Stegostoma tigrinum: one gene and its partner. The protein of the gene in region 1 purifies or fractionates together with the protein of each later gene. This does not show direct contact. Links are inferred from orthologs where the notes say so. Each region holds a gene or a part of one and is shown on either strand. Other genes may lie near its edges.

Region 1 (6,440 bases):
TGAGGTGTATAAAATCATGAGAGGCATAGATAGGATGAATGCTTATTATCTTCTTCCCAGGGATGAGGAATTGAAAATTAGAGGGCACAGGATTAAGGTGAGAGGGGAAAGATTTAAGAAGGGCCTGAGGGGCAACTTCTTCATGCAGAGTGGTGCATATATGGAATGGGCTGCCTGAGACAGTGGCTGAGGCAGGTACAATAGCAACATTTTGAACCATTTGAATAGGTACGTGGATTGGAAAGGTTTAGAGGGATACGGACAAAATGCAGGCAATTGGAACTAGCTGAGTGGGCACTATGGTCAGCATGGACCAGTTAGGGCCAAAGGGTCTGTTTCTATGTTACATTACTCCATGACTCTATGACTCTGTAACTGCTGCATTCCAGCAACTTAGTTAATAACTATTCTTTTATATCATGGTTTGAAAAGCAAGCTGTCTTATGCAAACCCTTGGTGCTTGCCATCTCTGCTTCTTTGCTTGACCTGCTGCTCTTATCAATGTTCTCCCAATTGCTGGGGACAGAATCACTAATGATGGGATAGCAGATATGAGGGCTGAATAACAGGCCAGAATTCGAGCAACAGAGAATCCTCTTGAGGCTTGTAGCAGATTGGGGACCAGAATGAGAATTTCAAAGTTAACGGATCTGAAACTAGGAATTCAGCAAATAAAAGAGCAAAATTGAAAGGTGACCTAATAGAAGTTGATAAAATAATGAGAGATATAGACAGAGTTGTTGGGGAACTTTAAGAAGGGAGGGCATGTTTTTAAATTGAGAGGAGCGAGATTTAAAAAGGACATGAGGCAAATTATTTAGACAGAGGCTGGTTCGCCTGTGGAATGAGTTTCCTGGATGCAGGTACAATTACAACGTTTAAAAGATATTTGGATGGATATGTGAACAGGAAAGGTTTGGAGGGACATCAGCCAGGAGCAGGCAGGTGAGACTAGTTTAGTTTGGGATTATGGTTAGCATGGACTGGTTGGACTGAAGGGTTTGTTCCCATGCTGTACGTCTTTGTGATTCTGTAACTTAAATCGTTGCTTTAATATAATTGTCATTTAAAATTACTTCTAAGGAGGTTTAGTTTCTTTAAAAACAAATCCAGAAGTTGCTGGAAAAGCTGAGCAAGTCTGGCAGCATCTGTGGAGAGAGATCAGAATTAACGTTTCGGATCCGGTGACCCTTCCACAGCACAGCACCTCTGTGTTCGTTTCTGATTTGCAGCATTCGCCGTTCTTTCGGCTTTTTGGTTTCTTTAAAGTTTGATGTAACCCCACTTCTAGCTTGCTGCTATTAGATTGTCATTTGTGTTACCGACTATTGCTCCAACTTTTCCAAGGGTTTTGTCAATTAATGTCTGACGAAGGAAATAAAGTGATTGCGAGGGGAAGACACTTGTAGCGGCGATGGCGTTGGCGGAGGGAGTGGGGAACGGCACTGTCCCTTTAAAGACCGACAGAGAGCCTGTCAGTGTCAGGAGAGCAATCCGACTGTAGCCTTTCCTGATTTATGGGGGTGTCAGGTTTCCCCGGCTGATTCTGTACACGGGCTGGGCCGCTTCCCCACATTATTGATATATATGGAGTGGATTTATTTGGGGAGGGGTGGGAGAGGGACAGAGAGGCTCACCTGTTGATGTGTATCTGTTAGAAGTTGTGACAGCCCTGATCTGTGCCTGAGGAGGAGCTGCCCCGTCTTGAACTGCCCTGCAACACAGCGCTAGCTCTGCCGGAGTTGGAGACTGGCTTGAAAGCCAGCGGCGCTGGAGATCTCGCTGCCCGCAGCTTCCGACAGAGCACAGGCTGAGGCTCCAACATCGACCGATGGCAGAAGCTGGGCGTCCCGAGAGTGCGAGAGACGATTCGGCTGGAGACGAGTTTAACGAGATCATCAAAACTCGAACGGGTAAGTGGAGAGAGGACGGGCTGGAGAGGACGGTGCCCCGTACTGATCCCAGCTGAGGTTTGGCAAACTGAGAGTAGACCTCCAACTTTCAGAGGCTGTAAGGCTCTGGCGCCGGAGGTTTGGAAAGACCATTGCTCGTGTTTGTGTGTGTGTGTGTGTGTGTGTGTGTGTGTTTGGCTGAGCAGCTGCAGAGTAGAGTTGGCACCGGGAATGATGAAGCCCACCGAGTTAGACCCTGTTGGGGCTGCCCTCCTCTGAGATGGGCAGAGACCGCTCACTCACAGCGGGAGCTCTCACCGAGAATGGTTACAGCTGGAGTCGGGCTTAGGTGACAGAGTGAGGGTAACATGACAGGACCTAGAGAAGATAAAACAACAACTTTCCCGCTAGGTCAACATTTTGGACATAAAATAATGTGTGTGAGTGTGTGTGTGTGTCTGTGTGTTCGGTAGGACCGTGTATGTATTCCCAGTGATGTCCATAGGGAGAACACTGAGGAAATATTCATAAAGTGATTGTCGGGGTGGGATACAATGCGGGGGTTGAACTGCGGTAGTGTCTCTTTAAATACCGCAATGACAGCCTGTCAGAGTCCAAAGGACTGAAGAAGGGTCTAGGACCGAAACGTCAGCTTTCCTGCTCCTGAGATGCTGCTTGGCCTGCTGTGTTCATCCAGCTCTACACCTTGTTACTTCAGAGTCCAAAGGACATAGGCGCCAGTGGGTAGTATGTTGCTGCTGTTGCTCCTCCCATTGTAACAGAAGGGCAGTCCCCGGAACCTGCTTCTTCTCTGGTGTCGGATGGAGAGATGGACCAATCCGGGGGACTAAGGCCGCCTTAAAGTAAAGCAACGAAGTCGGCAACACGAGCTTGTGTGAGAAAGGAAACCTGCAGTGTACAGATTCTTCCCTCAAATAATGCAGTGGAAGGTTGAGGTTTGCTGGCCATGAATGATAGCAAAGGCCGTGTGAGACACACTTGGTGGCTTCTCATCCTCCCAGGGGCGTCCAGTTGAAAGTCTGGATACTGTGGGTTCCGAACTGGTGATAGAAACCCTTTGGAGAACTCTGTGCTGTGCAGGAAGTGAGATATGGGTTGCCTAACTGACAGTTATTAACTGTCGATCACCCTCAAATTCCAGCATATCCAATAAATCTGGTCGGTTGAAATCAACTGAGTACTTGGTTGTAAACTCCTTATTACATTGCAGCTCGTTTGCGGTCCAGTGTTGCATTTCTGGATTAAAAAGAGGGCCAACAGTTTGCTTACTTTAAAAGTTTCCCTTGCAGCCACATGTTCAGTTACTTTGCATGTTTTATCCAGTTATTCGCAACTTCATCCCGAGTGGGTTTCAGGGAGCTCGGTCATAAAATGCATGTACAAATTTGACAACTCAAGCAGCTAATGGCGCTAAGCCCCACGCCTTGGCGTATACCGAATTTGCTGTGTAACTGGGTTCTCAAAGAGAAAAGCACTTGGAGTGTTGGGAAACCCTTTGGGGAATAGATCATTATCCCGCGGAATGAAGCGCTGTTGAAGGAAAACCACAGCCACAGGGCTGTGTTGGAATTTGGCAATGCCGCTTCTGTTGACGTGTGCAGCCCAGTGCCAGTTACTGGGAAAATCTCGGGGAAACAACAGTCTCAACTTTGAGCAGGGAAAGGTCATGTTTTATTTTGATGTTAGAAGTTATGCTAGGGACAGCTCGGTGGAGACAGCCACCTGCTCTTCGGGAATTGAGAGAGTTGTGCAAACTATTTTAGGCCGTCACCAATTAAAAACTGGTTTTACATTTCATTCAGGAGTCCAATGTGATCGTTATTTTGTGGGATACAGGAATATCTATGCGCAAAAACACAGCTCAGAAGTATCCCGAACACATTTAAAGGAAAACCACACTGGAGAAGAGCCACAAAGACTTAACCTGGCATTAAGCTTGGAAAATCTAGTTCATTGATTTGGATGGTTTTTAATTCCTTCTCACCAACCAAAAGGTTACCAAAATATAAGAAAGAAAGTCTCTCCAGGTTAAATGGCAGTAGGTTTTGGTTGGGGGTGGATTCCTAGCTCAAAGCTAAATTAGAATTTAAGCACAGTGATACAAAATGGTAAAGTTGTTCTGCTTTAGTAACTAAAAGGAAATGAAAATCATCAAATTCTAATCTCTTCGCATGTACACATCTTTGGACTATCAGTCCCATATTGACAACAACAGTAAAGCCTGGGGCTCAGATATTCCTTGCTTTGAGATAGCAGGTGGATGGTTAGAAAGTTATTTGGAATAAAAGTTCAACTTAAGTAAAACACAGATTCTATAGTGATGAGTCAGTTGTAAAATTACACATAAAATCTCTTTAGATTAAGTGGACTGCTCAAGAACTGTTTATTTATTTGAAATATATTTCTGATGCAATTAAATCAGTTTACTTAGAAGGAGAGTTTGAAGAGAGATATAAAATCATTGAAGCAACTCCATTGGATCAGTCAATTTTATTTGATATTTAGCAATTCTATAATAATAAGCAAATATTGACTGTCATGTACAAAAATAAGACTGTTCCCCTGGTGGTAATGACGCTTTCATGATGCTATTATTGTGATCAGTATAATTTTTTGTAATCAGAGAGAATGTTTATCTTGAGCTGCAGGCATATTATCAAAACTGACTGGCAGTAGGGTGAAAGACTTTTATTTCATTATTGTCTCCCAATGCATTGATGGTGAAATTGAAATGCTTTGGCAGAAGTAATAACATATTCCATATCAGAATAATGTCACTTTGGTATTATTGTGCTGAAAGTTTCAATAACTTAATTTTCAACAAACAATGCAACTCAGAAATATTTACAAATTAAAGTTAAGCGAAGTATTATTTGTTATATTCTACAGCACAGCACTCCGTCCATAGTAGACATTTGTGCATGTCTCTGGAGTGAAATTTGAAACACAGCCTTCTGACTCAGATATGAGAATGTTACCACATTTACCATGGCTGAGAACACAGTGACTCAATAGGGTGTCACAGAAAATTTGACCAGTCAAATCCATGTGTGCTGACAAGTGGTTGTCAGATTCTGCCTGAATTTTCTTTCTTTTTGCTTTTGAACTACACAATACAACACATATTGTGGAAGAAAAATACAATTCAAAAATATTTACAAATACAAGTTCGAGAAAGTTTCAGTGTAATAATGCTAGATATAAAATGATTCCAATATGGAATGCGCTATGATTGCTGCCAAAGCATTTCAATTTCAACATCGATACATTGGAACCAACAATAATTAAATGCATGCTTTTAACTCAGTCATGTTGCTCAAAGTTACACGTTTCTATCATATACACAATAGTGTGATATTATTAATATGATATATTTGTCACATCACCGGTAAGTACGAAGAGACAGATATATTTTTGTCATGCCCTTCAGTGTTAACTACTTGAGACATACTTTTTATTTAATGACGATCATTATAAAACTAACTTCCTTGGTTCTATGTAACATATCCATTTATTAAAGGTATTCTAGTTACAGGGAGGGGAGTGGGGTGGAGGGGGCAAGCATTTTGTTTAAAATATATCTCTTTGCTGTTAAGCCAGGATTAATCACATAAGTATGTTCTAGCTGCACAATGTGAATCCTTATTTTGATTTTATTAATGCCACTGCAGATTTGCAAATTCAGGTCAAATAATTTTGGCTGTGAGTTCAGTGTTGCACTGCTTTAATACTCATTTGAACTACAAAGGTGAGATTGTCTGCCTTTGAACTCCATTAGTGTGCATTTGCTTTATCATTGACCTAGCTACTGCTGTTTGCAGCAGCAATATCCTGAGTGCCAAAGTGTACATCTGGGTACTATAACTGGTGAACCAAATGCATTCCTCCCACATAACGCAGTTGAAATGTAACTGCCAAGGAGTAAAATTTTGTCTCAAATTCAGTTATTTGCTTTTTAGGCTTCTATTGGACAGAGGGCCCTGCAAAGGTTAAAAAAACTTTGCTTTGCATTGTTTTAAATCCAAGGCTTGCTTTGGAAACATAACTATTGAATTTTTGTTCTCACAAGACAAAAATTGACTGAATCAAATTGAACTTATTCATAATCACCTCGATCTTAAAAATCCTCAAAGCATTGATTGTGACACTTGATAGGCTGCAATGTTAAATAGTCATTCATGAATCATGAGGGTTTCCTTGCCCTAGGCAATAATGCTTTCATCCTGTTTCACACAAAATGTTAATTTAATACAATTAGATATAAAGGCACCATAAAGTTTATATGTATTTATTAAATTAAAGTGAATTCTGCATTCTTCTTCAAATCATTTTCTTGAATAATTTTATCACTTACTTGGTTGCATCTTCTTTCAGTTGTAGTGGCAGACTTGCCAAAAAAATCTGCCTCATCACCAAGATGCTACCTGGGATTATGGTAAGACAGTAGGTGGCAGATCACGTAGTTTGAGTGCATTCACCCAGCCAACACGTTCAATGACTGTCCTTACATTTTCTATATTTCAGCGC
Region 2 (6,440 bases), on another chromosome or scaffold:
TGTAATTTTCATCCTGATTTTATCTGTGCCTGTCGGGCGAAAACTGGGCTGGACAAGGGGAGTGAGGGGTAGTTAAAATAATGGGATGCAATTATCACTTCCGCCAAAGTTGCTTCCTGGAAGCTGAGTCCCATGTTAACCTGCAATGTTTTAAATCTGATTAAATCTACAGAATATGCAATAATTATCCCAAGGCTTGAGTAAGAGGAAGCACAGTCTCGACTTCAGCAGGAGCAAATGCAGAACCCTCCCACGTCACAAAAAAAAAATCTCAACCACCCCAAACGCATATGCAAAATCTGCCTTAGCTCTGAACCTGGTTCAAACCTGCAGCCAGACCTTGCAGTACACATTTCAGGAGTGAGATCAGCTCAAGATCTGAACAGGTCCAAATAGTTAAGGTTTTAACATTTCATTTTAGGCTTCCTTATAGGCCAGTACAGGCCAGAAGTTCTTTTTCTCTTATTCTAACTCCCTTGCCCTGGGCCCCAATTCAATCTTTGACAGGCCTTCACCACCAGAGAGTGGCTTCACACTCATCTCCCCTTAACCCTGACAGCACTTCTACTCACCCCTCATCCCAACTGAAGGAAAACCCACTGTTTTGAAAATGGGTTTGCAGCATCTGTGCATCGCTGACTAAGCCAACATTTATTGCCCATCCCTTGTTACCCAGACACTACTGTGGGTCCGGAGTCACATATAGGCCAAAGCAGATAAGTATGACAGGTGGGGCTGTCTTTAGCTTTTTATTGTAGGTTTCTATCAAGTTTGTTTTATTCATTCACATGACAAGTGCAATGCAGGTGAGGCCAGCATTTATTGCCCATCTCCAATTGCTCAGAGGGCAGTTAAGAGCTAATCACATTGCTGTGGGCCTGGAGTCACTTGTATGTCAGGCAAGGATGGCAGATTCTTTCCCTAAAGGACATTAAGTGAGCCACATGGGTCTTTCGGGGCAATTGGCGATGGATTCATGGCTATCATTAGAGTATTAATTCCCAATTCTTATTAAATTCAAATGCCACCATCTACCATAGCAGGATTCAATCCCGTGTCTCCCGAACATTACCTGTGTCTCTGGATAAAGCAGTCCAGCCACATTACCACTAGATCGTCACCTCCCCTAATTTACTTTCACCATTTGCCATGGTTGGATTTGAATCCATTAGCCCAGACGATTAGCCTGGCGTTCTGAATTACAAGTGACATTAAAACCATGCTAATACCTCCCACCTAACTAATAAGTTGGTCGTATTTAGATGCTCAGTAACCTAGACTTAACAGTAGAATATCAGTCCAGATCCTAGTTTAAACAAAAAAAGCAAGAAAATCAGGAAAATAAAAGCAGGGGTGAGCAATCTGGAAGAAACTTGTTGGTCTTCCAGGACAAGGAGTTGACCCTGATTGAGTGTTGTAGACTGGCACCTTCCAAGGTGCTGGACTTTGTGCTGAGAGACACACTGAAGCTTGGGGCAGCTGTCACCAAGGTACAGTGGGGAAAGGCCACAGTCTGAGGTCCTCTGCCGAAGGCAAGTCGGGATCCCTTCAGTTATCGGACCCTCTCTGTGCTTCAAACGCACAGTCTTGTCTTGTTCGAGTAAGAGTTTGAGTTGGTTTGTTTGTTAGATAGAGTCAAATTCCAATATTTCTTTGTTTCCTTGATATGCTACGTTGTGGCTAAATGTGTACTTTTTTATGATTAAAGTACATTTTTGAAGAAAAAGAAAATTGCTGTGAAGATGTTGAGTTGATTCACTACTATCCCATAGAATCCTTACAGTGTGGAAACAGGCCATTTGGTCCAACAGCTCTCCAAAGAGCATCCCACCCAGACCCAGCCCCCTACCACTCCCTGTGGCTAATGCACCTGACCTCCTCATCTCTGGACACTACTGGGCCAATCCACCTAACATGTACTTCTTTGGACCGCGGGAGGAAACTGGAGCACCCGGAGGAAACCCACACAGACATGGGGAGAATGTGCAAACTCTGCACAGATAGTTACTGAGGGTGGAACCGAATCCAGGTCCCCAGTGCTGAGGCAGCAGTGTTAAACACTGAACCCACTGTGCTGCCCTTTAGAGGAAGAAATGCCACCTTCACCTGGTTTGGAACTATTAGTTAATCCTGGCCCTCTGTGATTAACTCTCAAGTGCCCCCCAAAGCTATTTGCCACCTTCACAGGGCAATTGCCAGTCACGTATAAATGTGGATTTTTTTTTAATGTCACAGCTGATTGGGCCAGTGATCGCAATGGTTTATTTTAAAAGCTGATACCAGTGACTTTGGGATGTTCCAGGCGCTATATGAATGCAAGCTAATTTATAAACAGATGCGGAGGCGCCTGCAACCAAGTGCACCTCCCAAGCAAAGGGGCCAGCCTTGGGTATTCGATGGGTTAATTACAGCTTGTAGAGCTCTCGCCGGCGCTACTGCAAGCCCAGCGATTATTAATCATGACTGGGCACTTTTAACAAAAAAAATGGCAGAACTCGTAAAGTGATATATAGATAAAAAAAATCCAGACTCCGAACTAATTCGGAGCGGTGAATAAAAGGTAAGCACGAAAAACAAAATCACAGCAAACGCAGAAATTATTGCCACACTCAGAAGTTGTTGCGGAAAGAGCTGAATCCTGAAACTCTGCTTTCATTGCCCATTTCTTTATTTAAAAAGTTAATTTTTGGAACCCCTTCACGGCTCAAAACATCTAATCCCCACCTTGGTCACAAGAGACTGATTCAGACACAAGCGTGGGCTAATCCTGACGTTAAATCGAAAACATTTCTCCTCTCCCTTTTTGGGAAAGGTCGAATGTAACCAAAAAGGTCAAAGTGACCAACTAATGAAACTGTGGCACGTTGAGATTGTGCAGTTTTGCTGTTGACTGGGAATGGGACACGTATGGAATTAGCAAAACAGAGTGCCATCCCATGTCAAATGTCACTGCAAGAAAACACTGCCAACTTTCTGCAAATGGAATTTAAAACGTGCAACTGATTTACAATCAAAAGTACAAAGCAAAACAAAAGCATCACTGAAAATACATTAACTCAAACAGCAAAAAAAAGGGGGGGGTGGGGAAGGAGACGACAGACTTCCCATTCTCTCAGGAGGCAACTGGAAGTACCTTGATGACCCTAACGCTCCGTTTCTTGTTGCTGATAGTTTCGGGGATGTGTTCAGGTAGTTCGGTGAAGGCGTTGCGTACGGCCGTGGATTTGGGGCTGCGGGAGGCGGCTTGGGGACTTTGTGAGCCCGCTCCGTTGGTGAGTCCATTCCAGGAAGCAGTGTGCCCAGGCTGCTCACAGCTCAGGATCAGATTCTCCTGATTCAGGGTGGCCAGCACACGATGCCAGCTGTCCCTGACCAAAACTTCTAACAGTCCACTTCTCTGTACTCTGCCGGCTAACGCCATCTTTGTCGCATTCTTAAAATGCCACTCGGTCCAGAAGTTGATAAAGCTCCGAATGGCTGTAGCCCTTAAGGGGAGATTGGAATTCCTGTTTCTCTCTCCCTCCCTCCACTTCGTTTAGTGCCAAGAAATTCTTAAGCTCGGTTCCTGTTTGAGATGGACAAGTTAGACAACAAAAAAATCTCCACCCACTTTCTGATGTGAACTATAGAGGGTGTGTGTTGGAACTGGGAGGCGTGGAGTGTAACTACATCGCGCTAAAAGTTACATTGTCTTGTGCAGAATAAATGAACCAGTCACTGGTTTAAAGGTGTGGGCCGTCAGGTGTAAATTTCAAATTGAAATTGACCCGGGAAATCCCAGGCTTTAATAGTTGGCTTCACCTCCTGCTTTGAGCGTGAGAGAGATTTTGGGGAGAATAGATTTCTCTAACGATAAGAGCTGTTTCACTCCTTCGATAATCCAAAATACAATTTCACCAGGATCCAAAAGTATTGGCCACACAATGCCTGTCGTGTACAGGCTGTTTCAACTTTTCATCAAAACGGGCTAAAGGGAGAGGTAATGATGCACCTAATCAGAAACACACACGCACAAATCATAGTTTAGCACTTTAATTTAAAAATCCCTGTCTTCAAGCCGAAAAACTTAATCCTGTCAGACCTGCCCCAGATTCCACTCACAGCCCCAACCATAAAAGAGCAGGGAACCTCATTATACCTTGAGCAAATGCTGTTCCTCTGATGAAACGAGGAATACACGAGAACCGGGACGCCATAAGGTACGCACAAATGATTATAAAAACAAGGTTTGTTCCTGCACAATGTGCTGTTCTGTTTGGTAAAGGGAATCCGAAGCCAAGATTATTAAAGAACCAGAGTCCCAGGAAAAGCAGAGTTGTTTGACAGGAAGGGTCACACACCCCTACCAACTACCACAATTTATAATTGCACACATAGCAAACAAGGAGAAATTCCTTAACTGAGCGGGAACCTGTTTTTTGTCTAATGTTAGTTTCTACAGAGAACTACGACACCATGTGGCTTTAAGAGAGAATGCGCCTTACACGATACCCACAGGGTAACAAAGTGTGAAGCTGGATGTACACAGGAGGCGAAGCAGCATCTCAGGAGCACAAAAGCTGACGTTTCGGGCCTAGATCCTTCCGGATGAAGGGTCTAGTCCCGAAACGTCAGATTTTGTGCTCCTGAGATGCTGCTTGGCCTGCTGTGTACATCCAGCTTCACACTTTGTTATCTTGGATTCTCCAGCATCTGCAGTTCCCATTATCTCTGATCGTGATACGGACAGGGTTTATTTTTAATGCAAGAATATGCTTCGAGTGATAGAGCATGACAACAGACCCTACGGCTCAAAGTGGTCCATGGTGCCCCCTCAGCTACTTCCAATTGCCTGCATATTATCCATATCCCTCTAAACCCTTCCCATCCATGCACCTATCCAAATGTTATTTTTAAATATTGCTATTGTATCTGCCACAGCCATCTTCTTGGGCAGCCCATTCCATATACGTACCACTGTCTGCATGAAGAAGTTACCCCTTAGGTCCTTAAAACGTTTCTCTCTCACTTTAAACCTATGCTTAAAGCTATGCTGGGGAAAAGACCAGATGCATTCATCTTATCTGTGCCCCTCAATATTTTATACACCGCAATAAGGTCACCCCGCTCTCTCCTACATTCCAAGATATAAGGTCCTATTTTGGCCAACCTCACCCTATAACTCAGGCCTACTGGTCCTCGTAACATCCTCATAAATCTTCTTTGCATGCTTTCCGCTTTAACTATGTTTTTCCTATAACAGGGTAACTTTATTCACAAAAAAAACCCTTTATGTACATAATTTTGGGCGGAATAGATTTCTCTAATTATAAAAGCTGTTTCACTTCTTCAGTAATCCAAAATACAATTTCACGAGGATCAAAGTATTGGCCACACAATGTGTGTTGTGTACAGGCTGTTTCAACTTTTCATCAAAGCTGGACAAAAGGGAGAGGTAGGGGATAATGATGCACCTAATCAGAAACACACACGCACAAAATAGTTAATTAAAAATAAACCTTGTCTTCAAGCCAAAAAAACAATTCTGTATAGTCTTTGCATATCAAGAAAACCAAACATTGGAACCTGATATTCTCTGCATTTGCAAAACCTAGAGGCATTTCTTATTTCTGCAGGATCGTATTTACATACATCTGAGGCAACAAGAGGGCCTGACAGCTGAACAGACCCACACTGTACTTACGCAGAAAGACCTTAGACAGTGGCCTTTTCCCCATTGCCCCAAGCTTTAGCGCATCCCTCAGCACATAGCCCTGGACCTTGGGATGTTCCAGCCTGCAACACTCGGTCAGGGACAATTTCTTGCACTGGAAGACTAACAAGTTTCTGACAGACAAGAACATCTTTCACCAAGTTGCTGGTCCTCTAGGTGGCATTGATGTTGGTCTCAGACCATAGAGCACAGTGCCCTGTGTCATGGAGCTGCTTGGGACAAACATCGACAAAAGCCACTGCACTTGTCTCTTCACCCCCCTCATCCTGCTGACCACCTTGAATTGATCAGACTTTCCAATACCAACGTTGGTGAATGCTGAGGCATCATTGCTGTTCCACTTTAGGACCCAGCGGAAATCATGACGGGAAGTTACAGCGAGTTTAAATTCCCAATAGGCACATACCTGCTGGTCAGACACTCCACCTTAAACTGAAGTCAGTGTTGGAAACTTTGGGTAGATACGTGGGACTTACCTGGATACTTTCCCTACAATTGTTATCAAGTCACAAACAATGTAACCCAATTCGTCCCAAACCTCCTACACAGAACCCCACACCACTAATCACAACCCCCACACCTAACTTCCCATCCCACAGACCCATTCACTTCCCTGGACCAAAACTGCCCAAACACCTCACCTAACGTGACCACCCTCTTACGCATATGAGGGGAAGTGACAGCCTCCAGAAACACATTTTTTAATGCACAGGGACCTGGATTCAAA

Evidence for each region. Proteins that work in one complex are often made in the same cells at the same time.
Region 2: the proteins of dmd (region 1) and sntb1 purify together in Homo sapiens (co-immunoprecipitation; 4 studies listed by BioGRID and IntAct, counting the BioPlex papers as one, with this or other methods). This does not show direct contact. The link is inferred for Stegostoma tigrinum from reciprocal best matches to the Homo sapiens genes DMD and SNTB1.

Annotation. Positions count from the first base shown.
Region 1 is NC_081365.1:58,610,127-58,616,566, reverse strand, and holds the start of dmd (dystrophin), read left to right. Parts: upstream 1-1,677; 5' UTR 1,678-1,831; coding exon 1,832-1,913; intron 1,914-6,440. UniProt on the Homo sapiens protein: Anchors the extracellular matrix to the cytoskeleton via F-actin. Ligand for dystroglycan.
Region 2 is NC_081358.1:38,257,096-38,263,535, forward strand, and holds the start of sntb1 (beta-1-syntrophin), read right to left. Parts: upstream 3,619-6,440; 5' UTR 3,422-3,618; coding exon 3,134-3,421; intron 1-3,133. UniProt on the Homo sapiens protein: Adapter protein that binds to and probably organizes the subcellular localization of a variety of membrane proteins. May link various receptors to the actin cytoskeleton and the dystrophin glycoprotein complex.